Linked DNA regions of Callithrix jacchus. The protein of the gene in region 1 interacts with the protein of each later gene in a biochemical or structural test. Links are inferred from orthologs where the notes say so. Each region holds a gene or a part of one and is shown in the gene's direction. Other genes may lie near its edges.

What was found.
Region 2: the proteins of BMPR2 (region 1) and BMP2 form a complex in vitro, tested with the Homo sapiens proteins (4 studies listed by BioGRID and IntAct, with this or other methods). The link is inferred for Callithrix jacchus from reciprocal best matches to the Homo sapiens genes BMPR2 and BMP2.
Region 3: the proteins of BMPR2 (region 1) and GDF2 form a complex in vitro, tested with the Homo sapiens proteins (2 studies listed by BioGRID). The link is inferred for Callithrix jacchus from reciprocal best matches to the Homo sapiens genes BMPR2 and GDF2.
Region 4: the proteins of BMPR2 (region 1) and BMP4 form a complex in vitro, tested with the Homo sapiens proteins (2 studies listed by BioGRID). The link is inferred for Callithrix jacchus from reciprocal best matches to the Homo sapiens genes BMPR2 and BMP4.

The regions. Positions count from the first base shown.
Region 1 is NC_133507.1:123,697,524-123,704,820, forward strand, and holds part of BMPR2 (bone morphogenetic protein receptor type-2), read left to right. Parts: intron 1-3,560; coding exon 3,561-3,733; intron 3,734-6,049; coding exon 6,050-7,297. UniProt on the Homo sapiens protein: On ligand binding, forms a receptor complex consisting of two type II and two type I transmembrane serine/threonine kinases.
Region 2 is NC_133506.1:14,043,413-14,051,487, forward strand, and holds the start of BMP2 (bone morphogenetic protein 2), read left to right. Parts: upstream 1-3,396; 5' UTR 3,397-4,595; intron 4,596-5,821; 5' UTR 5,822-5,828; coding exon 5,829-6,174; intron 6,175-8,075. UniProt on the Homo sapiens protein: Growth factor of the TGF-beta superfamily that plays essential roles in many developmental processes, including cardiogenesis, neurogenesis, and osteogenesis. Induces cartilage and bone formation.
Region 3 is NC_133513.1:41,180,745-41,188,794, forward strand, and holds the start of GDF2 (growth/differentiation factor 2), read left to right. Parts: upstream 1-3,175; 5' UTR 3,176-3,390; coding exon 3,391-3,736; intron 3,737-5,732; coding exon 5,733-6,667; 3' UTR 6,668-8,050. UniProt on the Homo sapiens protein: Potent circulating inhibitor of angiogenesis. Signals through the type I activin receptor ACVRL1 but not other Alks. Signaling through SMAD1 in endothelial cells requires TGF-beta coreceptor endoglin/ENG.
Region 4 is NC_133509.1:88,522,809-88,530,574, reverse strand, and holds the start of BMP4 (bone morphogenetic protein 4), read left to right. Parts: upstream 1-3,216; 5' UTR 3,217-3,221; coding exon 3,222-3,283; exon of another isoform or gene 3,284-3,492; intron 3,493-6,616; coding exon 6,617-6,741; intron 6,742-7,766.

The DNA.
Region 1 (7,297 bases):
AATTAGCCAGGCATGGTGGCAGGTATCTGTAATCCCAGCTACTTGGCAGGCTGAGGCAGGAAAATCACTTGAACCCAGGAGGCAGAGGTTACAGTGAGCCGAGATTGTGCCACTGCACTCCAGCCTGGAAGACAGGGCAAGACCCTGTCTCAAAAAATAAATTAGGGGTGACGATCCAAGATGGCCGATTGCTAACATCCCGGGATTGCACCTCTCAGTGAAGGCGCTGAGAACTAGAGGACGCCACACTTTCAGACAAATTCTGGTCGTTCACCGAGCGACTGATCCCCAGTGGAGGAAACACACGGGTCGCCAGCGCAACTCTCGTGGCCGGCACAGCGGTTCCGGCCGGCACCTTGGCTCGGCAGCTCTCAGAGCAGAGTAAACAGGTTTGGAGGACCCGCACAGGTCCCCAGCACAACACCAGAGCCCGGTGTAGAGGCTGTGATGGCACCTCGGCGTGGCAGCGCTCGGCGCAGAGTAAACGGTTCCCCTTCTGACCGAGGTTTGGAGCCCCGGGAAGGCAGAGTCACCTACTACGGACACAAGAAGGAAGCCCGACAGGAGAATCCTGGGAAGAAAAGCACCATCAGTTTTAACGACGCTGCTCTGGCCCTGGGAACTAACAACCTGGACGTCCACTCAAGAGACCTAATCTGAAAGTTGGTAAATTCAAAGACGACAGGAGGATAAATTTACAATGACGGGAAGAAACCAGCGTAAAAAAGCTGAGAATACTCAAAGTCAGAATGCCTCTCCCTCTAAAGATGATCACAGTTCCACATCAACAATGGAACAAGGCTTGATGGAGAACGAGCACATCCCAATGATGACAGAAGTACTCATCAAGGAATGGATAATAACAAACTTCGGTGAGTTAAAAGAACATGTTGTAGCCCAATGTAAAGAAACTAGGAACTTTGAAAAAAGGTTTGATGAAATCCTATTGAGAATAGACAACTTAGAGAGGAGTATGAATGAATTAATGGAACTGAAGAATACAATACAGGAACTCCGAGAAGTATGCACAGGTTTAAACACTCGAATTGTTCAGGCAGAAGAAGGGATATCAGAGGTCAAAGTCCAACTTAATGAAATAAAATGTGAAGAAAAGATTAGAGAAAAAAGGATAAAAAGGAATGAACAAAGTCTCCAAGAAATGTGGGACTATGTGAAAAGACCAAATTTACGTTTGATAGGTGTACCTGAATGCGACGGAGAGAATGAATCCAAGCTGGAAAATACCCTTCAGGATATTATTCAGGAAAATTTTCCTAAACTAGCAAAGCAGGTCAATATTCAACCCCAGGTAATACAGAGAACACCACAAAGATATTCCTCAAGAAGAGCAACCCCAAGGCACATAATCATTAGATTCACCAGGGTTGAAACGAAGGAGAAATTACTAAGGGCAGCCAGAGAGAAAGGTCAGGTTACCCACAAAGGCAAGCCTGTCAGACTTACAGCAGATCTCTCAGCAGAAACTCTACAAGCCAGAAGAGAGTGGGGGCCAATATTCAACATCCTCAAAGAACAGAACCTTCAGCCCAGAATTTCATATCCAGCCAAACTAAACTTCACAACTGAAGGAAAAATAAAATCTTTTATGAACAAGCAAGAACTCAGAGATTTTATTACCACCAGGCCTGCTTTACAAGAGCTTCTGAAAGAAGCATTACACATAGAAAGAAACAACCAGTATTAGCCTTTCTCAAAATATACCAAAAAGTAAAGAGCACCAACATAAAGAAGAATTTACACCAACGAATGGATCAAACAGCGAGTTAACATCAAATGGCAGTAACCCTAAATTTAAATTGACTAAATCCCCCAATCAAAAGACACAGCCAAAACCCAACGGCATGTTACATCCAGACCCGTTTCACATGCAAGGATACACAAAGACCCAAAACAAAGGGATGGAGAAAGATTTACCAACCAAATGGAGAGCAAAAATAAATAATAAATAAATAAAAAGCAGGCATTGCAGATCTTGTATCGGATAAAATAGATTTTAAAGCAACAAAGATACAGTGGTAAAAGGATCAATGCAACAACAAAAGCTAACGATCCTAACACCCAGATACATAAAGACTTAGACTCAGTGAGACAGAAAATTAATAAGGATATCAAGGACTCGAACTCAGATCCAGAACAAGTAAACTTAATAAATATTTATAGAGCTCCCCACTTCAAATCCACAAAATATACATTCTTGTCCATACCACATCACACCTACTCATAAGTTTAAATGAAACATTGATTGGCCATTATTAATACCCATTTTTTTTAGAATAAAGCAACATTTCCATTCTCTCTCCCTCTTTTTCTTCCTCTTTCTTCCTCTCCTTCACTCCTTTTTTTTCTTTCCTTCTCTCAAAAAAAAAAAAGAAAAAAAGAAATCAACTTGTAGACCTCCAGATCCAGGTTGGCAATGTCTTTCTCATTGCCTGATTTCCTTCCTTCCCTTCTCTCCCTCCCTCCCTCACTCCCTTTCTTCCTCCCTCCCTCCCTTCCTGCCTTCCTCCCTTCCTACAAAATAAAAAAAAAAAAAAGAAAGTAAAGGTACAGGAAATGTAAATATCAGAGCAGGCACAAAGCTTAAAGCTTAATTGAAACAAGTCTGAAGGGATTATAGATGACAGTCTACCAAACTATTCAAAGTCTGTTTTTAAAAAGGGAGTTAAAACTAGCTTTCCCCAAAAGAGAGACTGTTGTTCATTGCTAATGTATAGGAGTACTACAGCATGGGACTGTTTTTGATACTACTGCTGTGGAACTAGTTTAAAGAAGACATGTCTGTAAATTTTAAGGTTGGAATGAGGCACTCTTTTTTTTTTTCTTTTCTTTTAAGGCAGAGTCTCACTCTGTCACCAGGCTGGAGTGCAGTGGCACAATCTTGGCTCACTGCAACCCCTGCCTTCCAGGTTTAAGCAATTCTCCTGCCTCAGCCTCCTAAGTAGCTGGGACTACAGGTGCACACCACCATGCTAGCTAATTTTTTTATGTTTTTAGTAGAGATGGGGTTTCGCCATGTTAGCCAAACTGGTCTCAAACTCCTGACCTCAGGTGATTGGCCTGCCTCAGCCTCCCAAAGTGCTAGGATTATAGGTGTGAGCCACTGTGCCTAGCCAAGCACTCTTAACTAAGGGAAAAGGAGAAAAGCTCACCTAGAGATAGAAGATAGCCAAATGCCCCAAATTCCATCAAACTCAAAACTTATTTTTGAGGCGGAATTAGTGGCTATCGATTGAAATAACAGAACTGTGAATTAACAACAATGACATAAACCTGTGGCCTTGAAAAAACATCTGCGACTTACTGTTGTTTACTTTTGTGAATAATTCTTCAGGGAGTTAAATTAAATCTTGCTTGCTTGCTTACTTGTTCATCGCCTTTTGAGAATGTGTTCCTTTACAAATCCTTGAAGCCTAAAATATGTTATTGTATGTAAAATACTGGTTAGGGAAATTGATTTTTCTTTTACCTCATATTGTGAACTGAAAAGCTCGATACTTTTTTTTAAAGACACACAGTTTGACATGTACTTTGTCTTACAGGCAGTGAGGTCACTCAAGGAGACAATCGAAGACTGTTGGGACCAGGATGCAGAGGCTCGGCTTACTGCACAGTGTGCTGAGGAAAGGATGGCTGAACTTATGATGATTTGGGAAAGAAACAAATCTGTGAGCCCAACAGTCAATCCAATGTCTACTGCTATGCAGAATGAACGGTAAGACCCTAAGGGGTGTGGCATCTATCAATCAGTATTAGAAACTGAGACCTAACAAAGAATAGAAAACAAATACTGTTAAACCAGCCTAATGGTTCAATGATTACCTCGTACAATCTAAAGTTATCATTTGTCTTTCAGTATTCCTATTTACTGAACATTTTTGTTTGGTATAAGTACAAAATGAAATCTGCATTTTTTTTTATATGTAAAAATATAGTGAAAGAACTTAGTATTTCTCTATGGTCTAACTTTCCTGCAATAATAAAGGTAAAACATTTTAATAACTAAAAGTTCATAAGCACTTCTATATAAATTGTCTCATTTATCCTTTGTTGTTATTATTCCTTCCTCCTCTGCTTTTTTCCTTAAGTCAATAGAACTGTGAACTTGCCTATCTAACGACTGTCACTGATGCTACCGTTTCTAGACTTTCTATCTAATACTCTTTCTTATAGAATACACTACTACTACATGAAAGCAATTCAAAGGTCTTTCTATTCCATCATGAATATTATTTTATAAGACATTTCCTTTATTAGAACTATGATTTTTGGTTTTAAATAAAGAGACTTTAAAAAAAATCACTACAATTTGGAACTTTCTACGTCTGTATTTCTTTGTTCCATGTTTGGGAGAAAAGAAAGCCTTTCTATGACTTTGTCATTTTGTCTAATACATGTTTAAAACTTTCAGAAAGGCATCCAGGAAAGCGGTACTGGCGAAAATTGAAATAAAAATACACTTGATTCTTGAAACTTTTTTGGGGGGAGGGGGAACTGAGTCTCACTCTGTCACTCAGGCTGGAGTGCAGTGGCGCAATCCTGGCTCACTGCAATCTCCCCCTCCTGGGTTCAAGAGATTCTCTTGCCTCAGCTTCCCCAGTTGCTAGGATTACAAGCATGAGCCACCTAATTACAGGCCCAACTAATTTTGTATATTTAGTAGAGATGGGATTTCACCATGTTAGCCAGGCTGATCGTGAACTCCTGACCTCTGGTGATCCACCTGCCTTGGCCTCTTAAAGTGCTGGCGTGAGCCACCGTGCCTGGCTGTGAGCCACTGTGCCTGGCCTATTTTCTGTTGTTCTAATTTGTGAAAGCTATTTATATTAGCCATAGGTAAAAAATGTGGTTTGTACTACTTTTGTATAGGTTAAATTAGTTTCAGATATAAACTTATACCTTATATATCAGCAAGTCAGGAAAGGTAGACACTGGCAATTGTAATCATAAGTTTTCTCACTTTCAACATACCTGAGGACAGTCTTCTGCTTTCATCTCCCCTCATCTCTGTATTTCCCATGTCCTCTAGTATGGTGTTTATACTTTTCTCAAAAGTCAGCTAAAGCTTTTACTTCGAATGCTTTCAAACTTTTCTTTAATGGTAAGAAAAGAAACCCTTGATGCCCCACCTTGATTTGGCCATTTTTTTGCCTCCCATGTCATTCAGCTTGACCTTCTCCATGCATCTTCTCATCTCCGGTCTCTACTAATGATTTCCCATAGTTACTCTAACTCTACGTTTTATTTTACTGAATCTTACCCTCCATGTCTCCTTAGCTTCCTTTTCTTGTACTGTTTAACAACTCTTTCTTCTTTTCCTCCTGTCATCTCCCTTATAAATAACTGTCACTCCCAAGGAATGACAATGACAGTGAAAAACCCATGATAATTAGAGAGCAGTTCTGAATCTTTGGTTCTTTATTTGAACATCACATTCTTCCTTATACCTTGGGCTCAAGGACTTTTGCTCAAATGGCTCAGACTACTCCAGAAAGATATGTGCCATTGCTAGGGCATGCCTCTTAATGGAGGCCTTTGGAACAACCTAAAAGCTTATATTCTTTTTACCATTTGGCCATTGGAAGATAATTGACAACATACCTTTTGAGTAGGTACTATGCATCTAGAATTATGGAAGTAAAAAAGAAACATATGCCATGATTCTTCCTTTCATAAAACATAATGTCTGGTTGTATGAATATACAGTTCATAAATAGATATTTTGTGATGTTATAAAACTATAGGAGAGATTTTTTAATTAACTCTTATAAACCAAAATAATGGACATTTATAAAAATCATATCTGATTCACATAAATTTTTCAGTAGGCTTTATTCATCTAAAACTAACACTTAAGTTATTAATTGATACTTGATTATTTGATTAGACTTTTTAACTAACCTTTAGAAAAATATATGTTTGGAAGAAAATGAAAAACAGCTCAGACTTTAAAATCAGAGGTGTTAAACTTGGAGAGACAGTTTGTCATAAATGTCTGTTCTCAATGTGACACTTTTTTTCTTTCTTTAAGCAACCTGTCACATAATAGGCGTGTGCCAAAAATTGGTCCTTATCCAGATTATTCTTCCTCCTCATACATTGAAGACTCTATCCATCACACTGACAGCATTGTGAAGAATATTTCCTCTGAGCATTCTATGTCCAGCACACCTTTGACTATAGGGGAAAAGAACCGAAATTCAATTAACTATGAACGACAGCAAGCACAAGCTCGAATCCCCAGCCCTGAAACAAGTGTCACCAGCCTCTCCACCAACACAACAACCACAAACACCACAGGCCTCACTCCAAGTACTGGCATGACCACTATATCTGAGATGCCATACCCAGATGAAACAAATCTGCATGCCACAAATGTTGCACAATCAATTGGGCCAACCCCTGTCTGCTTACAGCTGACAGAAGAAGACTTGGAGACCAACAAACTAGACCCAAAAGAAGTTGATAAGAACCTCAAGGAAAGCTCTGACGAGAATCTGATGGAGCATTCTCTTAAACAGTTCAGTGGGCCAGACCCACTGAGCAGTACTAGTTCTAGCTTGCTTTACCCACTCATAAAACTTGCAGTAGAAGCAACTGGACAGCAGGACTTCACACAGGCTGCAAATGGCCAAGCATGTTTAATTCCTGATGTTCTGCCTACTCAGATCTATCCTCTCCCCAAGCAACAGAACCTTCCCAAGAGACCTACTAGTTTGCCTTTAAACACCAAAAATTCAACAAAGGAGCCCCGGTTAAAATTTGGCAGCAAGCACAAATCAAACTTGAAACAAGTAGAAACTGGAGTTGCAAAGATGAATACAATCAATGCAGCAGAACCTCATGTGGTGACAGTCACCATGAATGGTGTGGCAGGTAGAAACCACAGTGTTAATTCCCATGCTGCTACAACCCAATATGCCAATGGGACAGTACCGTCTGGCCAAACAACCAACATAGTGACACATAGGGCCCAAGAAATGCTGCAGAATCAGTTTATCAGTGAGGATACCCGGCTGAATATTAATTCCAGTCCTGATGAGCATGAGCCTTTACTGAGACGAGAGCAACAAGCTGGCCGTGATGAAGGTGTTCTGGATCGTCTTGTGGACAGGAGGGAACGGCAACTAGAAGGTGGCCGAACTAATTCCAATAACAACAACAGCAATCCATGTTCAGAACAAGATGTTCTTACACAGGGTGTTCCAAGCACAGTAGCAGATCCTGGGCCATCAAAGCCCAGAAGAGCACAGAGGCCTAATTCTCTGGATCTTTCAGC
Region 2 (8,075 bases), on another chromosome or scaffold:
GAACTATGATCAATTACAGACATAAATTAATGTGTACATCTTAAACTGTGTGACAGTCTAATCAATTCACAAAATTCGTTCTTCTTAATCTTTAAGAAGATGTAATTGGTACTTGCTGAAAGCAGTGATCCTGAGTTGGCCAACTTGGTCTAATTTTCTAGATAAATCACTTCACTTCTCCCACCCTCTCTACTATGTCTAATCAAACACCCAAAAGGAAAACATTTGATTGACTAAATGCTTTTCTTTTGCCTTGGCTCCAAGTTCTTGTGATAAAAACTTCATTCACCAGCACAGTGGTTCATGCCTGTAATTTCAGCACTTCGGGAGGCCAAGGCAGGCAGATTACAAGGTCAGCAGTTCAAGGCCAGCCTGATCAATGTGGCGAAACACCTTCTCTACTCAAAATGCAAAAATTAGTCAAGTGTGGTGGTGCACACCTGTAATCCCAGCTACTCAGAAGATGGAGACAGGAGAATCACTTGAACTTGGGAGGCGGAGGTTGCAGTGAGCTGAGATTGTGCCACTGCACTCCAGCCTAGGCGAAAGAGTGAGACTCAGTCCCAAAACAAACAAACAAAACAAAACAATAACAACAAAAACTTCATCCAGGTAAGTAAGAACGGCTGGTTTCCGGTGTCAAACTTGTAACAAAGCGATATGTATGCTAAAAAGCAAAGCGTATTTCTCAGGGCAGTTATCACAGGTTTCCATGGAATGACAATTACAAGGTAGATGGATCATGCAACGCCTGCTGCGCACTTTAGAAGACTATTTTAATACTGATTTGCATAATGGTTGGCCTGGCAAGAACAATGCTGAACGCCATGGCTACAGAATGCAGTCCAATGGAATATCATGTGAGCGGAAGTGCTAAAGTAAAAGTTGCCAAAGTGTGACTGTAAACCCTTCATTTCATCCCGAGTTCTGTCCACACACAATCAAATGCAAATTCGCACCGTTTCTTGAGAAACTGGCAAGAAGTGACTGAAACGGAATAGTAACGACCTCCTTAGTGTGGAATCATTATCTGGTCATCTTTGCTTTTATACATAACTTGTCTGTACCCTCTGAGGCATTTGAGTTTGCAACCTCTATCCCTTTCTTAACAACTCCCCACTCCCACCTTGGCCCCTCTCCACATTTGCTGGCAGATACACCAAATCTGATAACTCAGGAAGAATGAATGTCACCCTCTCAACTGAAAAACTTTGAATGAACCTTTGAAAAAGGTAGAATCAACAACGGTTAGCAGCAAGTGATATTTTCATGGCAAACAGACACTCTCCCAACGTATTAAATAACCCAGCAATCTAAATTGCAGGTGGAAGGTAGCCATTAGTGAAGAGAAAAAAAAAATAGTTCGTCTCTAGTTAGATTTATCATTTCTGCCTATCGCTCTTCCCTGGAAAATGGGTAGATACAGTCAGCCTGTACTTCGCATCCCAAATACAATCTTTGGAGATTATTTATTTATTTATGAACTTCTTTCTTTCAAGCGTTCGAATTCATTTTCACCACAAGAGGGCAGCCATCTCTTAAAAAAAAAAAAAAAAAAAATGAAGCCTTGGTTTTGAGAGAAATAGGGCCAAAATTTAGGTAAGTTGTGCTTGGGACAGGCATTCAGTAGTTCCTCAGAAGTCACACACCCTACATAAAAGAGGTTCTGCAATGGGCAACACCACCATGAAACAGTGCTCGGAATTACCCATTTTCCCTTAGATTCTAAACTGACAAGGTTTCCACTTACCAAGTTACGAAGTTCTAAAGCTGCAAGACATCCTTGATGTCATCACAGGACATTTATTTTTTACTTTTTCTCCGGGGACATTCAATAGTTATCAACTTTTCCTCCTCTTTAAAAGCTACCTATTGATTGAAGTCTCATAGAGGTTTGGTTTGGTTTTTGAAATCTAAGTAATGACAGAAACAACAGTTAACTTCTCAATTAAACTTGATAGGAAAAAAAGTAGTTTCAGAAGCCCAATAAATACTTTTTAAACTGTGTCTATATGTAGAATATGTTTTATTGGCTACTTGTTTGCTGTCCAGTGACTTAGAGTGACAGTCAATTTCTATAGCACCTTCCCCGTCCCCCCCAATCCCCCCCCGGGCGCAAGAAATAAAGTAGCATGTTCCTGAATAACTCCCCCCACCTCTCTTTTATTTTCCTGGTAGGCAGGCTTCCTCCAAAATACCTTATTTGACCTTTATACCTTTAGAAACAGCAAGTGCCTAATTCGCCTCTGTGGGTTGCTAATCCGATTTACGTGAGCGGAACCTAGAATTATTTTAGTTCCCCCACCGAAAAAATAATACACATGGATAATAGTTTTATTACCAGCTCCCGATTCTGACTTTTTTCTCTGTGTTTTGCAAGCCCAATAGCTCTGGGAAAGCAGAACCTGGCCTTTACCAAAAATTTCTGCCCTTGGTTTTGGGGATCATTTGGGCAACCCCGAGGTGCTGTGCAAGGGGGCTCCTGGAATCCTGGGAAGGGTAGAAACCCTTAGCCCCAGACTCACGGTGCAGCAGCTCTGAGAATATTTCAGCTGAGGAGTGAGTTGAGTGAATATTCAGCTGAGGAGTGATTTGGCCACGTGTCACAGCTCTACTTCTTGGGGGCCTGGTGGAAGAGAGTGGAGTAGAAGGTCCTAAGGTCCCAGACTGGAATTGTCCTGTATGCTTGGTTCACGCTATGCATTGTTTTACCTTCCTCTGAGCTGCTAATCGCCTGCCTCTGAGGCGCAAAGATACAAGGATATATTTATATAAACATACATTTACATGTACATGGATATGAAAATAAATGCATACACATATTTATGTAAATGGAAATTTGTACACATGCATTTACATATGTAAATACATACATCTCTATGTATTAATGTTTAAAAGTACTCAATTTCCAGCCTCCTGTTTCTTTTAATTTTCCTCCTGTTCCAGGGAAACAGAAGTGTGGATCCCACGTCTATGCTATGCCAAAATGCGCTGCAATTGAGGTGTCCTGTTTTACTTTTTGAAATCGTGTATTACCGAAAAACTTCAAACTGAAAGTTGAATAACGGGCCCAGAGGGGAAATAGAGGCCAGACCCTGACCCTGCGTTTGTCCTGGATTTCGCCTTCAGAGTCCCCCGAGGGTCCGGCGCGCCAGCTGATCTCTCCTTTGAGGGCAGGGGGTGGAGGCGCGAGCGCCCGCCTAGGCGGCCGCACGCCCCCGCCCTCTGCCCCACCCCGCCGCGGCTGCCCGGGCGCGCCGTCCACACCCCTGCGCGCAGCTCCCGCCCGCTCGGGGATCCCCGGCCCGCGCCGCCGAGGGGGAGGTGTTCGGCGGAGGCCGGGAGGGAGCCTGCTGGCGGCGTCCCCTTTAAAAGCCGCGAGCGCCGCGCCACAGCGCCGCCGCCGCCGTCGCCGCCGGAGTCCTCGCCCTGCCGCGCTGCGCCCGGCTCGCACTGCGCTAGTCGCTCCGCTTCCCACACCCCGCTGGGGACTGGCAGCCGCCGCTGCACGTCGACCGCCACAGCGTCCGCCAGCGACCCTAACGCTCTCGGGGCCAGCGCCGCGCAGATCACCCGGGGGGCGCGAGGCACCCGCGAGTCGCAGACCCCGCGCGGGCTTGAGCACCCGGCCGAGCGCGCCACAGCGCCGTGGCCTCGGCTGCCCGGGCTGCGCCAGAGCCGCGGACGGGCGCTCAGGGCGCCGGGGACTCTGGAGCCGAACCCGAGCGCCGCGATGCGGAGCACCTCCTGCCGGAGATCGGGGGCCTGGGACGCGCCGGCCGAGGTGTGATCGGACCCCAGGCTAGCCACAAAGGGCTCTTGGCCCCCAGGGCTGGGAGAACGAGGGGAGAGCACAGTCACCCACCTCGGCGGCCCGGGACTCGGCTAGACTCGCCGAAGAATGAGCCCGAGGACGACGGGGCGCCTGAGCCTCGGTGCTTTCGACTGGCGAGCGCGAATGGGGGTGCATTGGAGTAAGGCAGAGTGATGCTGGGGGGCAACTCGCCTGGCACCGAGATCGCCGCCGTGCCCTTCCCCGGACCCGGCGTCGCCCAGGATGGCTGCTCCGAGCCATGGGCCGCAGCGGAGCTAGCGCGGAGCGCCCGACCCTCGCCCCCGGAGTCCCGGAGCCGGCCCGCGCGGGGCCACGCGTCCCACGGGCGCTGGTTCCTAAGGAGGACGACTGCACCAGCTTCTCCTTTCTAGCTTTCCTTCCCTTCCCTGCCCCGCACTCCTCCCCCTGCTCGCTGTTGTTGTGTGTCAGCACTTGGCTGGGGAGTTCTTGAACTTGCAGGGAGAATAACTTGCGCTCCCCACTTTGCGCCGGTGCCTTTGCCCCAGCGGATCCTGCCTCGCCACCGCCACCTCCGAGCCCCACCGCCCCTCCACTCCTCCGCCTTGCCGGACCCTGGGACGCTGTTCCCAGCGTGAAAAGAGAGACTGCGCGGCCGGCATCCGGGAGAAGGAGGAGGCAAAGAAAAGGAACGGACATTCGGTCCTTGCGCCAGCTCCTTCGACCAGAGTTTTTCCATGTGGACGCTCTTTCAATGGACGTGTCCCCGCGTGCTTCTTAGACGGACTGCGGTCTCCTAAAGGTAGAGGACGCTAGCCAGGGGCCGGGGTGGGGGTGGGTGGGAGGGGGATCTGGGCAGTCACTGCGGCAGAGCCCTTCCTTATGTCCAGGCCAGAAGTAAACAGACCCCTCTCCAGGTCCACGTGCACCGGAGCCCTGTGGGGGTGCCCCCTTCAAGCTGCCCCGGGAGACCATCAGCCTCACCCTCCCAGCCCGCACTCTTCCACCCCTCTTCTTTCCCCTCTCCCCCGAATACTTGTGAAGCTGTTAACACTTAAATGAATTTTTTTTAAGAGTCAAGGGTCAAGGAAATCCCTTTGAGAGGGTAGCCCCTGGCTTTCACCCGTTAGCTGAGAACCTGTCCACCCTGCCGTGGTGATCTCCCTTCTTCAAGTGTGGCTGAGAGACTTGGTTTCTTTACACAGAGCCATGTCCCATTTAGGAAAGTACTAGGAGTTGGGATTCTCCCTACTCGTTTCCAGAAATGCGAGCAGTCGGTACTGAAGGATCGCTTGGTACTGTGTTTTTAACAGCTGACACGTGCATTAATAGATATTCGCCATTTACGTAATCCCAGGAAGATACATGTGTGTCTTACCTGTACTATGGGGATGCGGGATTGAGTGGCCTCTCCAGACACCCCTGAGGGTAGGGACCTGGGCCACAAGTTTTAAGTGGCTTTGGAAGTTGTGGCCTTGAGCTTACAGGGTCTGGAAGTTATAGGCTGTGTGTGTGTGTGTGTGTGTGAGTGTGTGTGTGTGTGTGTGTGTGTGTATGAGGAAGTTCTATACAGCGCCTCTAAGGAAATCACATGCACCATTTGCATGTGTTTATATGCCAGAGAGCGCTGAGCACTATGCATTTGGGTTTGTATAGGGGACGCAGGGTGTCAGACCAAGCGGTGGTTCTCCCAGGTTCCCTGCACTGACTGTCAGCGCTGTGTCACAACAAAAAGGTGACCATCATTGCAGCTGGTTTGGTTGGGAGGGGAGGGCAAACCCCAGATCTGATGTCAGACGAGTTAAGAGTTGGATGGGAGCGAGAACTCATCTGGTCCTGGAACTTGGGACCTTTCATTATCCCAAACATTTGAGCCTTGGTCGGTCTTACGTACACTCGCGAGTGTGCCAAGCCAGGAGGGCACCCTGGAGGAGTCAAGTTTGCCAAACGGGAGCCGGGGCCGCGGGGGCGCGAGGGGGGAGGACTGGGCGGGGAACTCGGGGTGACTCACGTCGGTCCTGTCTGCAGGTCGACCATGGTGGCCGGGACCCGCTGTCTTCTAGCGTTGCTGCTTCCCCAGGTCCTCCTGGGCGGCGCGGCCGGCCTCGTTCCGGAGCTGGGCCGCAGGAAGTTCGCGGCGTCGTCGTCGGGCCGCCCCTCGTCCCAGCCCTCCGACGAGGTCCTGAGCGAGTTCGAATTGCGGCTGCTCAGCATGTTCGGCCTGAAGCAGAGACCCACCCCCAGCAGGGACGCCGTGGTGCCCCCCTACATGCTAGAGCTGTATCGCAGGCACTCGGGTCAGCCGGGCGCACCCGCCCCAGACCACCGGCTGGAGAGGGCAGCCAGCCGAGCCAACACTGTGCGAAGCTTCCACCATGAAGGTGAGGCGCGGAGCAGGGCGTGGGGGCGGGGAGTTACCCTGCGAAGCCCTCCACCCAGGGCAGACTGCAGCCATCCCTGCAGAGGCAGCTTGGCCAGGGCACCGGGGAACGTTTCCACTCTGGCTTCTGTACCATCGTTTCTGAACCTGATTTTAACTCATTGTAACTCATCGCTTGTGTGGTGGGGGAGCCAGGGATTCCCCTTGAGTAACTCCGCCACCCTCTTCCCTGGCTTGCGGCCAGAAGAGTTCCTCCTCCCAGGAACTGGAGAGAAATCAAGTGATGGGGAAGATGAGGGCAAAAGGCATGCCCCTAGTCAGCTAAACGTGCAAGAATTCCACAGAGAGAAAAGGAGAAAAAGGGAGGCAGATTGACATTTCTTTAAGTCTGTTTGGAAGCTTTTGCTCTATAAATCTGCTGCTTAAGCCAGGGTTTCAGGCTAGACAGAGCCAAGGACAGAGTTTGCAGAGATAGTATTGAAAAATCAAAGCCCAAAGTCTTTCTAATTTATAGTTGATCTGGGCCTGGTTTGGAAGATTTTGAATCCCGATCTAATCCCCGTGGGAGATCAATTCTACAATCAATCTTATTGTTTCCACAATGGCTTTCTTGTCCTGTGCTTAAATCTGAGATAGGCCCTGAGTAGAGACAAGGCAAGCCTTCAGATAAAAGCATTTGTAGCAGCTGCCTGTTTTTTTTTTAATGTGCACTGAAATGTGGATTTTTTTTTTCTTTTATGATACTACATGTGGTTTTTCTAAGGTGGGATATATCTGCTTGTTTCATCAGAAGGGCATTTTGTCGAGTGGGAATGTCTTACAGCGGCTATTGAGAGCCTCTGTACCTAAGTTCTTAGAGCAATTAGTCAAAAATATGTTCCACTCCAATTCTTTTTCTACACTTTTAGATGCTTCTTTGGCTTAATACATTTAAAATAGAGCATGGGTTTCTTCAAATCCCAGAAAAGAGTACAAAGTTGTACATCACAGAGCAATGAAGGATATTTGGGGAGTTGGGAGTGAAGCTCTCTTTCTTGCCTTTCCCTGCTTAGGTGGTAAGTTTCAGGTGGGAAATCTACACCGATAATAGACTAATCAGAAATGGCACAGCCAGATGTTTTCTCCCAGTGTGAAGAATGACTTATGCTTGTGAGAACATTTGTTGGTAATGGAAATAAGTCCCAAAGGCAGGCCACATAGCAGAAGATACATTATCATTGAGGCAGCTCTACATCATGGCGGGGATACTGAATTGATCATCAGTTCATTTTCAAGCACATTTCTGCTAGCTAGAAATCAGATTTGAAAGGCGGTAAGAACTCACTCCGCTCTTTCAGAATTCATCCAGTGAAAGCAGAAGTCATCTGTTGTCATGTGTAAAATTTGTGTGTGTGTGGGGGGTGTGTATTCTGCCCTCTTAGCCCTGAAATTATTATAGATCCAGCTAATCATTCCCAGTAAATGCTGATTAGAATAGTTTTGTTTGTTTGTTGTTTGAGTATAGAAATATAGTCAGAACAGCTGTTTTAGACACCTCTTGTGGAAATTTAGCATGGAAGTTCTTAACTTTATTTTTAAGGCCAGGAAGATGCTGTGTCTCTGTTATAACTTCAAAGGAAGATCATCGTTTAAGTTAGTTAACAAGTAAAACATTCGATTGTGTGAGGATTTTTATCAGTAATGTCTGCATAGTCTCATCATTGCTCTTTAAGTGGCTTGATCAAAACTAAGCAGGCTACACATTATTCAACTGTGTTACTTTAACTTATAAAGCATGTTTGAGTTTATAAAGTCAGAATTTATTCTTCTGTGAGTGTAAATGTTATCTGCAAAACAGTACAGAAGTTACCCACTTGATTAAAATCAACTTGTAATAACTTCAGGTCTTAATGCAGTTAGATA
Region 3 (8,050 bases), on another chromosome or scaffold:
GAGGGAGGGGTCCTCCTGCAGGAGGGAACGTCCAGGGTCTGTCTCCTCCTCAGAAAGGCAGCACAAGACCAGGACTTGTTCCCTAAGACCCAGAGTTAGGGGGATTTTCTCAGATGGACCAAGGCCCATTTGTATGAAAATGTAACCAGGTGCCTGAAATCACCACTTGATGAAAGTGAGAGTCCACTGGTGACCTAGGTCTCTCGTAAGAACCTAGGGATTTGAGAAAGGGCAGGTGGGAATTGGAGTGTGATCATAGCTGGGCTCTTCTCTCCACTCAGCCACTGGCTACCGAGGCATGCATGCTGGAGATGGGTAAGCCTGGCACATGTCTGTGAACACTGTTACCTTGTTGCCACATGGGGGCCACCCCAGAGACCTGGGCTAGAGGGCATCCCAACAGCCGTGAACAACAGTTGTTTACATATGTAGGACTGGTGCCCAACAGCAAAGCTAGTGGTGTTGAGAAGCAACAGCAGGAGGGACCCCTCTCTCCCTCCCACTTCCCAGTAGGAAGAAGCTGGACTCACACCTTCACACCCCATCTCCTTTGGCCTTATTGCCCTGTGGGGCACTTGGACAATTCGGGAAAGGAGAAGACTGGACTTCCTGCTAATATGGATCAGGAAAACTCAAGCAATCCATTAAAAACAATAAAAGAGATGTGAACATATTGATACCTTGCTTTTCGTGAGGCAGATCAGATTGTTTCAGATATACAGTGGCATGTTGCATTGTACAGCTCCAGGGAAAGCCACCCATGTCAGACTGTGACCAGCACCACAGGCAGCTGTGATGACGCTGGATACAGTCAGGTCCATAGTCCTTCATCTGAGACCCCCCCAAATATAAAACCATCAGAGAACCTAAAGTTTCTTTTAATTCATTTTCATCTGAGATCCCCTAAATACAAAACTATCAGAGAACCTACAGTTTCTTTTAATTCATGTTCTGGGAAAATTTGACCTGAATGACATTTGTGTCTTTAATGGTTTCACTGCAGAAATATTCATGTGTGTCATTATGAGGTGTTTTCTCTGACCCCTTTGGAGATGTTATTGCATATACACAATACAAAATCACCCAAATCTGAAGCTATCAGAGTCTCAACACACTCCTGGCCAGAAGGGTTTCAGATATAGGATTGTGGAGCTGGAGGTGTCTCAAAATGCAGCTGTGCACATCACTGGATGATTAAATTGTAAGCTATTTTTATTTTCTCTTTAATAATGTTTTCCGGCTGGGCATGGTGGCTCACGCCTTTATATAATCCCAGCACTTTGGGAGGCTGAGGCAGGAGGATTACCTGAGGTCAGGAGTTCGAGACCAGCCTGGCCAACATGGTGAAACCCCATCTCTATTAAAAATACAAAAAAAAAAAAAATAGCTGGGAGTGGTGGTGCAGGCCTGTAATCCCAGCTACTTGGGAGGCTGAGGCAGGAGAATCACTTGAACTTGGGAGATGGAGGTTTCAGTGAGCCGAGATCACACCATTGCACTCCAGCCTGGGCAACAAGAGCAAAACACTGTCTCAAAAAAAATAATGTTTTCCATTTCTCAAGTTTTCTATGCTACAGACTACTGTTATAACCAGGGGAAAAAAAGTCACAGTTAAAAAATAACATCAGGTAGCAGCCCCTTGCTCCTCCCTGTGCACATCCAGGCCACTAGGCTATCCCTCTGCTCAGCCTTTCGGTTGTGAAAGGCTCCTGGCCGGAGCACGTTGCAGGCATCTGCCCTATTCTCACTCCTCCCAGACCACACCCTCCTTCGCATTTGCAGCTCCATTTCTTGGGCATGGCACCCATTTGTTCATCTTTTCTTTTCCCCATGGAATTCTTGCACTGGGCTGGAGCAAAGCCCAGCACACTTCCAGTCATCTTCCCAAGCAGCGTTTCTGAAACAACAACCTTCTCTTCCCCTGCCCACGTTGTTAAATGACAGAGATAGCAAGTTCCATCCAGGTCTGGCCATTCAGGGGTTCCTGCTTTCACTCATCCCCCTTTGCAATCTCTGACCACAGCATGCCGTGGCCCCTCCTGCACCCCCTGAACCTGCTCAGCTCTCTGCAACCTCTCCCCCAGAGCCTCACCATGTGGAGCATCTTCCCAGAGTAAACCACCAGGCACACCATACCCCGGAGTATTTCTGACCATGCTCCTTCTTTGCTTTGCTCAAAGCCCCACGTGATGGAAACAGAGTCCAAGTGTGGACACATTGCTCTTAACGCAGTCCTTGGGTCCCTTGCCTGGACCGCAGCTTGTCGGCCTCCATAGGCCAGGGGATCATCTTCTTGGCATGTACCAGTCTCTGAACAACCCACCTACTCCCCTGTGTATCAGATTGCGTGGTTCTCCCTGCTGATGAGTGTGGCCCAGGTGTCTGCCAGGTCAATGTTAGCTAAGACACGTCACAACAGACCAGCGACAGGGCTGGGATGTGGGGATGTGAGGAGCTCCCCACAGGCTGCAGTGTGTTGTGGAGCTCCCCCAGAGCAGGCCAGGGGAATCTGGGGCTTCCTCCCCCATCTCCAGCTCAGTCAGCCCTGGGCTAGAGATGCGGCAGCCAGAATACAGCCACCAAGCCAGCCTGGGGCACAGCATCCTCTTAACCATCTACAGCTGTCTTCTGAATGGGAGGCTCCGAGAGCTGTAGTGACTTTCTCCAGGTGTCACTTGGTGGGCAATTGGTGAGCTGAGATCCCAGCCTCTGTCCAGTTGGACTCATCACCACACTAATTTGCACGGGAGCCATATTCACCCGTGATCTCTAATGCTCAGCAATGTATCCCACCAACAGAGCAGGGAGGCTTGCTGACAGGTTCTGACTCTACAAGGAGCAGGCCTCTTCTGAGCTCTGATGCGGTCCCCACCCTACCCCCATCTCCCCAGCCTCCACGGTTCACTGTGATCTTGCACTGCCCTTTCTTTATTTAGAGGACTTACTGGTCTTGTTTCCTGGATTCTTCACTCCTGTGGCCCAGGAGATAGAGTATATGTCACCCTGCCTGGAGATTCTTCTGAACAGCCCTGGCAAGGAAATGAGAAAGGATCCTAATTAGGGGGCAATAACCCCCAGGAGAAGCGCAGATTCTTTACAGTAGGCCATGTCCTTCCCACATGCCCTGTGTATTTGTCAGATGTTTATAGAGCCTTCATTAACGAAGGGCTCCCTCAGATAAGAGGGTGGAGTGAGGCATCGAGGACCAAATTAGCACAAGTAGAGGACAATCCAGCCTGGCGGCAGGCAAGAGTGGGCACTGGCCAGGACGGTTCCTTCAGAGCAAACAGCAGGGAGATGCCCGCCTGCTCCTTCCCAGCTCCTCCCCGAGCCTGCTAACACGGCACGGCTGCCTGCAATCTCCTCTCTGGGTAATTGCGTGGGCCCAAGATGTGTCCTGGGGCACTGTGGGTGGCCCTGCCCCTGCTGTCCCTGCTGGCCGGCTCCCTACAGGGGAAGCCACTGCAGAGCTGGGGACAAGGGTCTGCTGGGGGAAATGCCCACAGCCCACTGCGGGTGCCTGGAGGTGAGCTGCCAGAGCACACCTTCAACCTGAAGCTGTTTCTGGAGAACATGAAGGTGGATTTCTTACGCAGCCTTAACCTGAGCGGGGTCCCTTCGCAGGACAAAACCAGAGTGGAGCCTCCGCAGTACATGATCGACCTGTACAACAGGTACATGTCCGATAAGTCAACCACGCCAGCGTCCAACATCGTGCGGAGCTTCAGCATGGAAGGTAACGTCTCTGCTTGCATCAGGCGCACTGGGGTGGGGCTCACAGGTCCACAGCTGCCCTGACCATCGTGGAGGCTGCTGGCCATAGGAGGCTCTTCAAACTCATTTACATTAGTTACAATGAACTAAAATTAAAATGTAGTTCTTTGGCCTCACCAGCTTCCTTTCAAATGTGTGGCTAATGGCTTTGCTATCAGGCAGAGCAGATTGCAGGACATTTTCATTGTCACTGAGAGTGCTACTCGGCCGCTCTGCTCTGAAGGATTCACCTTCTCTGGGCTGTGTGTCATGTTTCACACAGCAGGTGCACAGGGATGCCAGCTCCCCTTTTTTCCCCCGCTTCCCTTTGCTCTCCTCTTCTTTCCATCTCCCTGCTCTGATTCACTTCTCTTCCCTTCCCCCTTCACTTCCTGTCCTCTTCCTACTTCAAAACAGATCAGACAACCTATTTCTTCCCCAACTAACTTGTATATTTTTAAACTTTGAAAGCACATCTATTCCTTTCTTGTGAAAGAGTTTTAAAAATCAGATAAAATTCTTTAACAGAGAAATGTTGGAAGAGAACCTAATCGTTTTTAAGTAGAAACATGTCTGACTTAGAAGGACTGGAAGATAACAAACATGGACCTAGAACCTATGTCCTAACTCAGTCAAGCTCACATGATGCAGGTGAAATGAGTTTCTGAACAGCGAAACTGTTCAGTCAAAGCTTGCAGCCACCCAGGGTATCTACCCAAGTCTCCTAAGAAGTGTTAAGCCACTGGATTCTGACCTAGGCCTGTCTGCCTGCACAGCTGGCTTTTGCTGCTGCTTTCTCCCTTTGAATGTCCAGGAGCACAGGGCCTCTCCCCTCCTGGGTCTGAGACTTGCAAATGGCTAAGGGCCCCAGCTCCATACCACAGCCAGGCCAGATCTAACCGGTCTGCAGAGGCAGGACTGGAACGTCAAAACCTGCCGGCTGGATTTCCCTACAGCACAGGGTCTCCACACATGTGGGCACAGCCAGTGCTCAAAAAATGCAAACTTTCCCCTGCCTGTGAGCCAGCCACGGTATAGCAGGAGCATGCTAATGACAAAGTGTCAGCCCAGGATCAATGGGAAATTGAGACAACTATGTGGCTAAAAGGCAAGCCCCATTTTTGATTGACATGACAAAGCAATTTAAGCCAATAGGTTTTTTCCCTCAAGCCCTGAAAACGACCGTCCACCTTCACTTTGTTTGGAAATTACAATTCCAGACAACTTAGACACTGCAAATGCTGAGTTTTTTGTTTTTTGTTTTTTTTTTTTTTTGAGATGGAGTTTCGCTCTTGTTACCCAGGCTGGAGTGCAATGGCACGATGTTGGCCCACCTCCGCCTCCTGGATTCAGGCAATTCTCCTGCCTCAGCCTCCTGAGCAGCTGGGACTACAGGTGCGCGCCACCATGCCCAGCTAATGCTGAGATTTTTAACATTGTCTTAATATTGAGCTTTCCTGTCCCCACCCAGGATCTCTCCTTTAAATTCATACACTCAGAATCTTTACTCAGGACCTGACAGTGAGTTTTGCTGCTTTCTTTATGTACTCAACTATCTGTGTGCTACTAAGTGCCAGGATACTTAACTAGCTGTGTGCATTTTGGTAGCCTTGAGTCCCAGTCTCCACATCTGTAAACGTGGAATAATAGTTAGATCCTCCCAGGGTGAGTGTGAGGATTAATGTGAGATGTATTCTGCCAAGCTTCCCGTGTAATGCCTGTCACATAGTAGATGCTCGGGAAACAGTAGGAGTTGTCAGTCTCAGTTGGAGGCATCTCCTGCCTTTGCTTTTCTTTGGAAGATCTTAAATGTGCCTTTCAAAATACCCTTCTATCTTAAGGGCTTGGGTGAAACCAAATAGAGATTAGAGACCAAAACTGTTAGCCCAGATGTTCTTCTGTCTAAACCCTGAGACTTAGCTTCAGGTCACAGAAACAGAGCCGCCAGCAGATGCCCACCAGGTATGTTTGCATTTCAGATGCCATCTCGGTAACTGCCACGGAGGATTTCCCCTTCCAGAAGCACATCTTGCTCTTCAACATCTCCATTCCCAGGCACGAGCAGATCACCAGGGCCGAGCTCCGACTCTATGTCTCCTGTCAAAATCACGTGGATGCCTCTCACGACGTGAAAGGAAGCATGGTCATTTACGATGTTCTGGATGGAACAGATGCCTGGGATAGTGCTGCCGGGACCAAGAACTTGCTGGTGTCCCAGGACATTCGGGATGAGGGCTGGGAGACCTTGGAAGTGTCCAGCGCCGTGAAGCGCTGGGTCCGGGCTGACTCCACTAAGAGCAAAAATAAGCTGGAAGTGACTGTGGAGAGTCACAGGAAGGGCTGTGACAAGCTGGACATCAGTGTTCCTCCAGGTTCTGGAAACCTGCCCTTCTTTGTCGTCTTCTCCAATGACCACAGCAGCGGGGCTAAGGAGGCCAGGCTGGAGCTCAGGGAGATGATCGGCCATGAGCAAGAGAGCGTGCTCAAGAAGCTGTCCAAGGATGGCTCCACAGAGGCAGGTGAGAGCAGCCGCGAGGACAGCCACGTGGCTGCAGGACCAACTTTAGCCAGACGGAAAAGGAGTGCCGGGGCGGGCAGCCACTGTCAGAAGACCTCTCTGCTGGTGAACTTTGAGGACATTGGCTGGGACAGCTGGATCATCGCGCCCAAGGAGTACGAAGCCTACGAGTGTAAGGGTGGCTGCTTCTTTCCCTTGGCCGATGACGTGACGCCGACGAAACATGCGATTGTGCAGACCCTGGTGCATCTCAAGTTCCCCACAAAGGTGGGCAAGGCCTGCTGTGTGCCCACCAAACTGAGCCCCATCTCTGTCCTCTACAAGGATGACATGGGGGTGCCCACCCTCAAGTACCACTATGAGGGCATGAGTGTGGCAGAGTGTGGGTGCAGGTAGTACCTGCCTGTGGGGCTGGGGAGGCAGGTGAAAGGGGCTCCTCACGAGAGGTCCTGCATCCCCCTGGGCACAACAAGGACTGATTCTATCTGCATGCCAGCCTGGAGGGGGAAAGGGAGCCTGTTGTCCCACCCCATCCCCCACCCAAAGCACACACCACCAATTCAACTGCCAGGGAACCCTAAGGAAATGGGGGTTTGAGCACAACAGGAAAGCCTGGGAGGGTTGTTGGGGTGGAAGGAGGTGACAAAAAGCAGACAAGGGGAAAAATATTTCAGAGTCAGCAGAAAACTGAGCAGCAGTGAGCCAGAGGAGCACAGGTGGGCAGGTGACTGCAGAGACTGATGGAGATTAGAGAGGTGGAGGAGGGCGGGCTCATTCCAAAACCCTGCGGAGTGGAGGGAAGGAGCAGGCCATGCTCCACATCCATCACTGCACATTATTTCCCACAACCCAGGTAGAGGGGCATGGCTTCCAATTTAGAGACACAGAGACCAAAACGCAGGCACATGAAGTAGCATTGATCAATGGCATAATTCCAACCCAGCTCTGTGGAACCCCAAAGCCCAGGATCTTCCCAAGTGCCCCGCTGCAGTTTAGCAGGTCCTCCCTAGCTAAAGAGCAGTGAGTCACTGGGAGCCCAGGAGTGTTCAGGCCAGGCCGGGCTGAGGCTCATCAGTCACAAATGTGACTGGGCTGCTTGGCACATCCAGGGCATGGTCTGGCCACTGTTGCCAGTGCTCACTCAGTGGCCAAATGTTTTTTAATATCTCCTCTGAGGCACTGAGAAACTATCTCCGGCCAACAGCAGGACAGACAGAGAGGTCAGGACAGCAGCCTTGTGGGCTGCATGATACACTATGACCCCCTCATGCAGTGCTCCTGCGGCCAATGGCGCACACGGGACCACTCGCCGTCCATGGCTGAAACCATGTGACCGTTTGAGAGGGCGGGCCACACTTTCCCTTGAGGGACGGGGCAACCTGGGGCCGGTGTCTCTGCCGTTACTCAGCATAGCCAGATCACCAGCATATGGTATCCAGGGTGTCCCCAGTGACAACCCCATGGGAGACAGGCCTGGATTTGAATTTGTTGGAATTAAATGTGCTCGTGCTTTGGTCTTTGAAACATTCCTAGTTTAATGCCTTGGTGACATGTCCTCAAGTGACAAGACTCCAGCCTTCCTGGAGGAGGCCTCCCCAGCCTCAGAAGAGCTACAGTCCTTATGGGCAATCACTGGCTCTGCCTGCATTTGCCTGCTCTCTTGAGTCATGCATGTGCATCCCAGAGCCCTGCCTGAGCTTGGATTGGGACCAGACCCAGGCTCCACGAAGTCAAGGGAGGACGCACCTTCCACCTGCTCAGTGTTTCACCCTCTCCTCC
Region 4 (7,766 bases), on another chromosome or scaffold:
GTCTCAAAACTTAGCAATGATTCTGGAAATTCCCTCCATAGATTCACCGGATACCTAATTGGCAAAGAAGGTTTGAAGACCTGATACGGTTCTTAACTGGGGATGGGGAATTAGGGACTACTATATCTATAGGATTATCTTTTCACTTGCATAGACCTACTTGGTGTGTTCAGGGCATAGTGATACTATAATTGCCATATTTAACAGTTTATAAAGCTCAAGCCAAGCATAGTCCATGCCTATTTAATGATGCCTTGGTATCAGCCTTTTAATGGTACTTAGCATAGAAAATGTAAGCAAAAAAACTTTTAAAACAGTAGCTCTCAAGCTTTAGTGTGCTTAGAATGACCAGAGAACCTTGTGAAATATACAGATTTCTGGTTCCAGATTTAGGACAGGGCGAGGCAATCTGCACTGTATCTACACTTTCACCCTACTCTGAGGCTTATTGTCCTGATAACATACTTTGAAAAAGGCTGTCCCAAGGGCTCGCGGACAGGCTATTGACCAGCTACTCTTTCTTAATGCTCTCCAGGAAAAGCCCAGCAAACAAATGCCCTCCATTCAGCAGTAGCACCATAGGAGCAATAGTTGCTCCTGCATTATGGTGGGTTTCTCCTCTTCATCAATATGCTTTAAGGGTACAGTTTCATTTGGTCTATCGACGACACTCTATAAAAATGTGAAAATTCACAGGTAAGCTTGAGCTAGGGAAAAGGACTGAACTGATTCTTCTCACCAACTCTGATCACTAGGCTGTGGTTGATTTAGCTCTCTAACCCACAAGTAATTTGTTTTTTGGCATGAGTAAGGGGGGAGAAGGAGGCGTGGGTAAAAGCAGTTGATAACAGATGGCTTGCACCCATCTAAAATGTGGAGAAAGAAAGCAAGCTGTCCCAAGAGAACTAAAGCTGAGTTCTCTTATCACATATCTGAAGATTCATATCAGGGTCTAAACAAAATATGTCAGGTAGCTTAATTGGAAACTCCCGGACTGTGAGTGTCACAGACTCATGGATGGGCCAATCAGTGGCCACTTTATTGTCTGGGCTGCAGCAAAATGAGACAATAGCTGTCATTCAAATACCTTTGGGATTAAAAAAGCCCCAAAATGACATTGGTGCTTTAAAATAAAATGAAGTCTTGCCTTTAAATACAACATATCGCTGTTGTTTCTGAGTTTAAATATTAAGAAACACTTTTTAAATGATTAAAACAATAGTGGTTGATTGAGGGGCTCAATGAGCATTTAATCTGTCTTTACTTCAGGTACTGTGCTAAAGGAGCACGCTGCCTGATGCTGCAGGAGGTTCATTAGGTAACTATTTAATGGAGTTTTAATTTTCTGTAGTTATTTTTAATAATTAATTGTCATTTTGAGTATTTGGAAGCTGGAGAGATATTTTGTCATTCTTTTGGGGTGATGTTATTGCCTGCCCTATTTTAATCAGAGGTTCTTAGAGGAGGTGGACTCAAGAATGATTTAAAATAAAACAAGATGGATGTTGGCTAAAATTACAATTAAATAATCAAATCATGTTCACATATAAAGGGAGCATGGAGATGATCTGGCCCAATCCTTTCATTCTGCAGATGAGAAAATGGAGACTCATAAGAATGAAAGGACTTGCCCAAAGCCAAGCAGCTTGTTTCCGTTGTTTGGTGCATTGTAAGGCCAGGAGACCACACTAGGCCTGGACAAGATGGCAGGACTTCTTGGCCTTGGTCTTACAGTCGCTTCTCTGATCTCAGGTATTACCCACCCTTTGTAATCTGTGTTCCACACTGGAAGTAGTTCTTGTTTTTTCAATATTGAAGGTGTATAAATGTAAAGTTTTTATAGATACGCCACTCAGAGACCTAGTAAATTTAGTAAAGACCTAAATGCTTTGTGGAGACAGTAGTGTCATGTCTGTCCCAGGGAAAGAAATCCAGGACAGGAAATGCTCAGTTCTCCAGCACTCCCCTGGCTACCTGGAGCTCAGGCGGTGAGCCTCAACCCTGCCCTAAAGCATTAGCTCTGGAGCAGAGGCTGTGATTTACTTCAGGGATCTGGGCAAGTCCCTTTAACCTGGTTGTTCTTCCCTTCCTTGTTTGTAAAACAGAGATGAGCCTGATAGCTCCCTCACAGCTCCATCAGAGGCAGTGTGTGAAATTAGTTACTGTTTGGGAAGGTTTAAAAGCCACCACATCCCACCTCCCTGCTAATATGATTACTAAAATGTTTTTATATGAAAGGGTCAATTCCCCATTCCCCCTTTTCCTTTAAAAACAGACCAAAGGGCATCTTTTCTTGTCTCTCTGTGGCCTAAAAGGTTATTGCTTCTGCGGTGATTTCCCTGGAAAGTCAGAGTGTCAGGATTCTGAGGTACACCAAAAATGAACAACAACAAAAAAATCAACAACAACCATAACACCACCAACAAAAATAACTGCAGTGCAGGTTCTTAAGAGGGCTTCTGGGCTAGAACCAGATTTTTCTAACTGTAAAAACGTGGCCCCAGACTGTCTGCAGGCCACCTCTTTAGGCCTGGGGGAGGAGGGAAGTGAGCTCCTTTACTGGGGTCTACCTGAGGGTCATCACCAAGGCTTTCCACAAAATGCACTTTAAGAATGTTTTGGAAGGAAATTCACCTTTTAAAAGCCGAAGAGGTGAAGAGGTATCTATCTCTGGCACACAGTTCTGCACACAGCCTGTTTCCCAACGTTTGGAAATCCTTTAACAGTTTATGGAAGGCCACCTTTTAAACCGATCCAACAGCTCCTTTCTCCATAACCTGATTTTAGAGGTGTTTCATTATCTCTAATTACTCGGAGTAAATGGTGATTACTCAGTGTTTTAATCATCAGTTTGGGCAGCAGTTACACTAAACTCAGGGAAGCCCAGACTCCCATGGGTATTTTTGGAAGGTACGGCGACTAGTCGGTGCATGCTTTCTAGTACCTTCGCACGTGGTCCCCAGGTGAGCCCCGGCCGCCTCCCAGAGCTGGAGGCAGCGGCGTCCCAGCCCTGACGGCAGCTGCGGACTCGGGCGCTGCCGGGGTTTCCGGGACCCGGGCCTGCTAGGCGAGGCCGGGCGGCTGGAGGGGAGGATGTGGGCGGGGCTCCCATCCCCAGAAAGGGAGGCGAGCGAGGGAGGAGGGAAGAAGGGAGGGGCCGCCGGGGAAGAGGAGGAGGAAGGAAAGAAAGAAAGCAAGGGAGGGAAAGAGGAGGAAGGAAGATGCGAGAAGGCAGAGGAGGAGGGAGGGAGGGAAGGAGCGCGGAGTCCGGCCCGGAAGCTAGGTGAGTGTGGCATCCGAGCCGAGGGACGCGAGCCTGAGAAGCCGCTGCTGCTCGGGCTGAGTATCTCGCCTGTCTCCCCGATGGGATTCTCGTCCAAGCTGTCTCGAGCCTGCAGCGCCCCAGTCCCCGACCCTCGCCCAGGTTCTCTGCAACACTTCAGAGGTCCCCAGGAGCTGCTGCTGGCGAGCCCGCTACTGCAGGGACCTATGGTGAGCAAGGCGACCTGGTGAGGGGAGTCAGGCAGAGGTCTAGGAGCCTCCTTGGAGGGAAGAAGCTGGGGGCTCAGGCTATGACCGAGGCAAAAGGTGGCCTAATTATTTTCTAATAGTGGTGCAGGAGGTAGGGATGCTGGCGCTGAAAGACATTTAAATTTTGGCTACTGCCCCTGCCCAGGCCTTCTCTGTCCAGCAGTCCCTGGGAGATTCCCACCTTTGGGAGGTGCGGGGCAGGAGGGCAGAAACTGGAGAAGCCCTTGGTAGGTGAACGTTGGAAACAAAAACTGTGGGGTCTTGGGCTGAACGCGTTGCCGGTGGGCTGGAGGTTGCGATCCTCGGACGGAAAGGGTGGGAGGAGGAAGGCAAGAGCCGGCTCTGAGGTCCGGAAAGAGTGAGGGGGCAGAACGACGTCGACAAGGGGAGCGAGCACCTAGCTGGAGGTGTTTCTGGGGTAGGGAGCGCAGTCCTGCTGGCCTCTGGAGAGTGCGCGCCGCTCCAGAGGCTTTGTCGAGGGGAGTGTCACCCAACCTGGCCCCCAGCTGGCGGGGCGCCCCGAGAGCTTGCGAACTGCATTTGAGGGACGCGCCTTCTCCACAAGCTATTTTCGTTGACTTGCGGAACCCAAGGAGCCTCTCCTCTATCATTTCACGGTGTAGGGTCCGTAGGGACGACATCCAGGATGCCAGGGGCTCCCAGGACACGTTCCTGTGGTGTCGTGTCCTATGGGGAGTTCCTGGCGGGACCAAAGGCAGACTCGCGGCCCTTCCTGACCCTCCCGGTCCGGATCCGACGGAAAAGGATCCCGTGATTCCCCGGGTCCCTGCAGACTTCTGCCAGCGGGAGTTGGTCCCGGGGCCTCAGACGCCTCCTAGGCACTGCTTTGGAGGATGGTTTGCAAGGATCGCAGTTTATGAGTTGAAGGCTTTGTGAGACGTTACACCCCCAAAAATACATACTTGGTAAACACCTCTAAACAGTTTTCGGCGTTAGGAAAAGATTCGGGAAGGGAAGTGAAGGACAATCACCCTGAGTTCCACACCTTTCCCCTAGGAAAGGGTGCTGGGGATGAAAGTTCTTTTGGCTTTTATCTTTTGAATTTAAAAATTTGAGAAGAAAAATGTGATGAGAGATGAATCCTGGTGAATCCTAAATTAAAAGACAAATCCCTCTTCTCCCTATTCTCTCAGTTGTAGAACCGCGAGCTCCCGCCCTAGGAGATTCCTCAGGGCCGAGGGTTGTCCGGGGATTCCGGGTGCCCGCCCCTTCCACGGTCGCTTTGCTCCGCGGGCACCAGGTTGCCTCCTTCTGCTTTCTCTACTTCTGGAGCTCCCCTCGCTGGGCTTTTTAAAGGGCTTCTGCGTCTCAAAACAAAACAAAACAAACCCTTTGCTATTCCCAATCCTTTCGCAGTCCGCCCCAGCGGTGGCGCGGGATCAGAACAGGCGAAAGCCGTACGCTCTTGCTGGGCGCGGACTGTCGCGCAGGGGCGCCCGCCGCCTCCGCACCCGGACCGGAGGTGTCAGTCCGCGCCGGGCAACCACGGCCGGGAGGGAGAACTGAGCTGCTCGATCCTTTACTCTTCTTCCTCAAAGTCTACCTACAAGTGCCCCCAAGAAAAAAACTAAGTGTGTGCATGGAGAGTGGGGCGGCAGGCAACCCGAACCCTCGAGCTCCGAAGCGACCCAAAGCAGCAACTGGGAGCAGCCTCAGGAAAGGGAGGCCGGGTAGAGTGGGCTTTGGGGCAGGAGTCGTGGGGCTCGGGACCCGGGGGCGACCTGGCGCGCCGGCCCCTGCTGAACGCTCAGTTGCGCCGGGTCGGGTTTTCCGAGAGGCCCTTGAGTTGAGCTACCCACGCGCGCGGCTGTATCTTCGATTAGGCAGGGCATCCCAGTAATTGCTTGAGTTGTGGGTAGGTAAAATTCTTGGAGTATTTGCTGCGACTCTGCTGCTGGTGCAACGGAGGAAGGAGGTGGGGGAAGGAAGTGGCGGGGGAAGGAGTGTGGTTGTTTAAAAAATAAGCCAAGCCGAGGCGAGAGAGACGCAGACGCAGAGGTCGAGCTCAGGCCCAAAGCTGTTCCCAGTTTTCTCGACTCCCGGGAACAAGGTGGGATTTCCTTTCTGCGCGGGGTCGGGAATTGTAAAACCTCGGCGACTTTAAGATCTGAAAACTGTGATGCGTCCTTTCTGCAGCGACGCCTTTCTGAATCTTCCCGGAGCTGCGAGTCCGGGTGGCGTCTGTCCCTCCGCCTGGAATGGCTTCTTCGCGGGTCTGCTTTGCCGGGGGAGACGGGCCGTGCAGCGGCCGATTCGGTGCGGGGATTCTCCGTAATGGTCCCGGAGCATACTAGTAACCGTTCCCCCTCACTTTCGCACAGCGATCACCCTCTAACACCTCCCTGCACCCCATTCCTGGCCCCATGCGTGACAGGGTTGGCAGCTTTCAGCCGGGAGCTAGATCGGTGGCCCGGCTCGTCCGAGCCTTAGCAGGCGTGACTGGCTGGGGTCACTGGCTGTCATTGGGAGCAGTATTTGGCCTCGCGGAGACCCTAGGGAGGAAGCGGCGGGGAGCGCGCTCGCGCACGCGCGCGTGTGTACACGCGCGTGTGCAGGGTCCCTCGGCGCTTTCCTTTTTAAGTGCCTCTCGGCGGTGAGGCTTTGGGGGGCGGGGGTGAGGCTCTCCCGACCCCGCTCCCAGCCCCACTTAGGCGGGGATAGAGCTGCAAGACGCAGCCCCTTCAGTGAGCCCCACATCCTCCGGCTTCAGGCTGCCTGGCCCGGGGCCCAGCCCAACGTACAGTGCGGAGAACCAGGTTCTCAGCGCGCTGCGCCCATAGCCCGGGAAGCTCGCCGGCGGCCGGGCACCGGCGGAGGGCTCTGCGGAGCGCCGCCGGGAGCTCCTCCCGGACCGCTGAGGCTCAGGCGGCGGGCGCGAAGGTTGGCCTCGCCTGGAGGGGGCGGACCCGCGAGGGGCCGGGGACTGTGAAGGAGGGGAGGGCGCGCGGGCCCTTTCACCGCCCTCTGCAGGAGGGGCCTCAGCGCTCACGTGACTCCGAGGGGTTGGAAGAAAAACAGAGCCTGTCTGCGCCGGAGTCTCATTATATTCAAATATTCCTTTTAGGAGCCATTCCGTAGTGCCATCCCGAGCAACGCACTGCTGCAGCTTCCCTGAGCCTTTCCAGCAAGTTTGTTCAAGATTGGCTGTCAAGAATCATGGACTGTTATTATATGCCTTGTTTTCTGTCAGTGAGTAGACACCTCTTCCTTCCCCCTCCCGGGAATTAACTCTGCCCTCACCACCCCTGCTCGCCGGCTGTCCCTCCCGTCGGACCTCCCTTGCAATGTCCACACTCCGCTCCCTGGCAGCACTGTCGCTCCCTTCTTAGCCCGGTAGCCAAGGCGCTCGAAGCGTACCAGTTCCTTTTAAAGTGCTGCTGGTGCACACTCGCCCTCTCTGGATTGCAAGAAAGGGGAGTGAGAGGGGGCTGAAGAGATGAAAGCCCGGGGTTATACCAAGAGGGCTAACCCCTCCCTTCTCCTACCCTACTTGCCCCGGGGAGCACCCAGTGTCTCCGTGGCACGTTCCCAGCCTCTTGTCAAAACTCACCGAGGTCTCCGGAACCGTCTCTCTTCCCTTCTCTGCGGGTGAGCGACCACGATCAGGCGCTTTTGGCTGGAGCATTTCAACCTGATCGCCGCAATAAAATAAGCCCTCAAGCCACTCGTTTAGTTCCCAGACCACCTTCTCGGATTCCGGACCCTGTCGCCCTCTATCTTCGCCCAGCCCCTGCCTCTCACTTTCCCGCCCTCTGGCTGCGAACCAACTGGAAGTTGTGAAAGTTGGGCTCTGAGGGTGGAGGAAAAGGGAGAGAAGCTGAAGGTCTAAAGTGGAGAGCAATGTCATTTTAATTCTCCCTCCCCCACCCCTTTTTACCCCCTCAATGTTAACTGTTTATCCTTGGAGAAGCCACGCTGAGATCATGGCTCAGATAGCAGTTAGGACAAAAAAAGATTAACAGGATGGAGGCTATCTGATTTGGGGTTATTTGACTGTAAACAAGTTAGACCAAGTAATTACAGGGCAATTCTTACTTTCAGGCCGTGCAGGGCTGCAGCTGGTGGGTGGGGGGGGGGGTGTGGTGTGGGGGAGAAGACACAAACTTGATCTTTCTGACCTGCTTTCCATCTTGACCCTCCATTTGTAGCCCTAAATGCATATGCAGAGACATCACTATTTCTCCCTATTTATTGTGTTTATTTATTCTCTAACC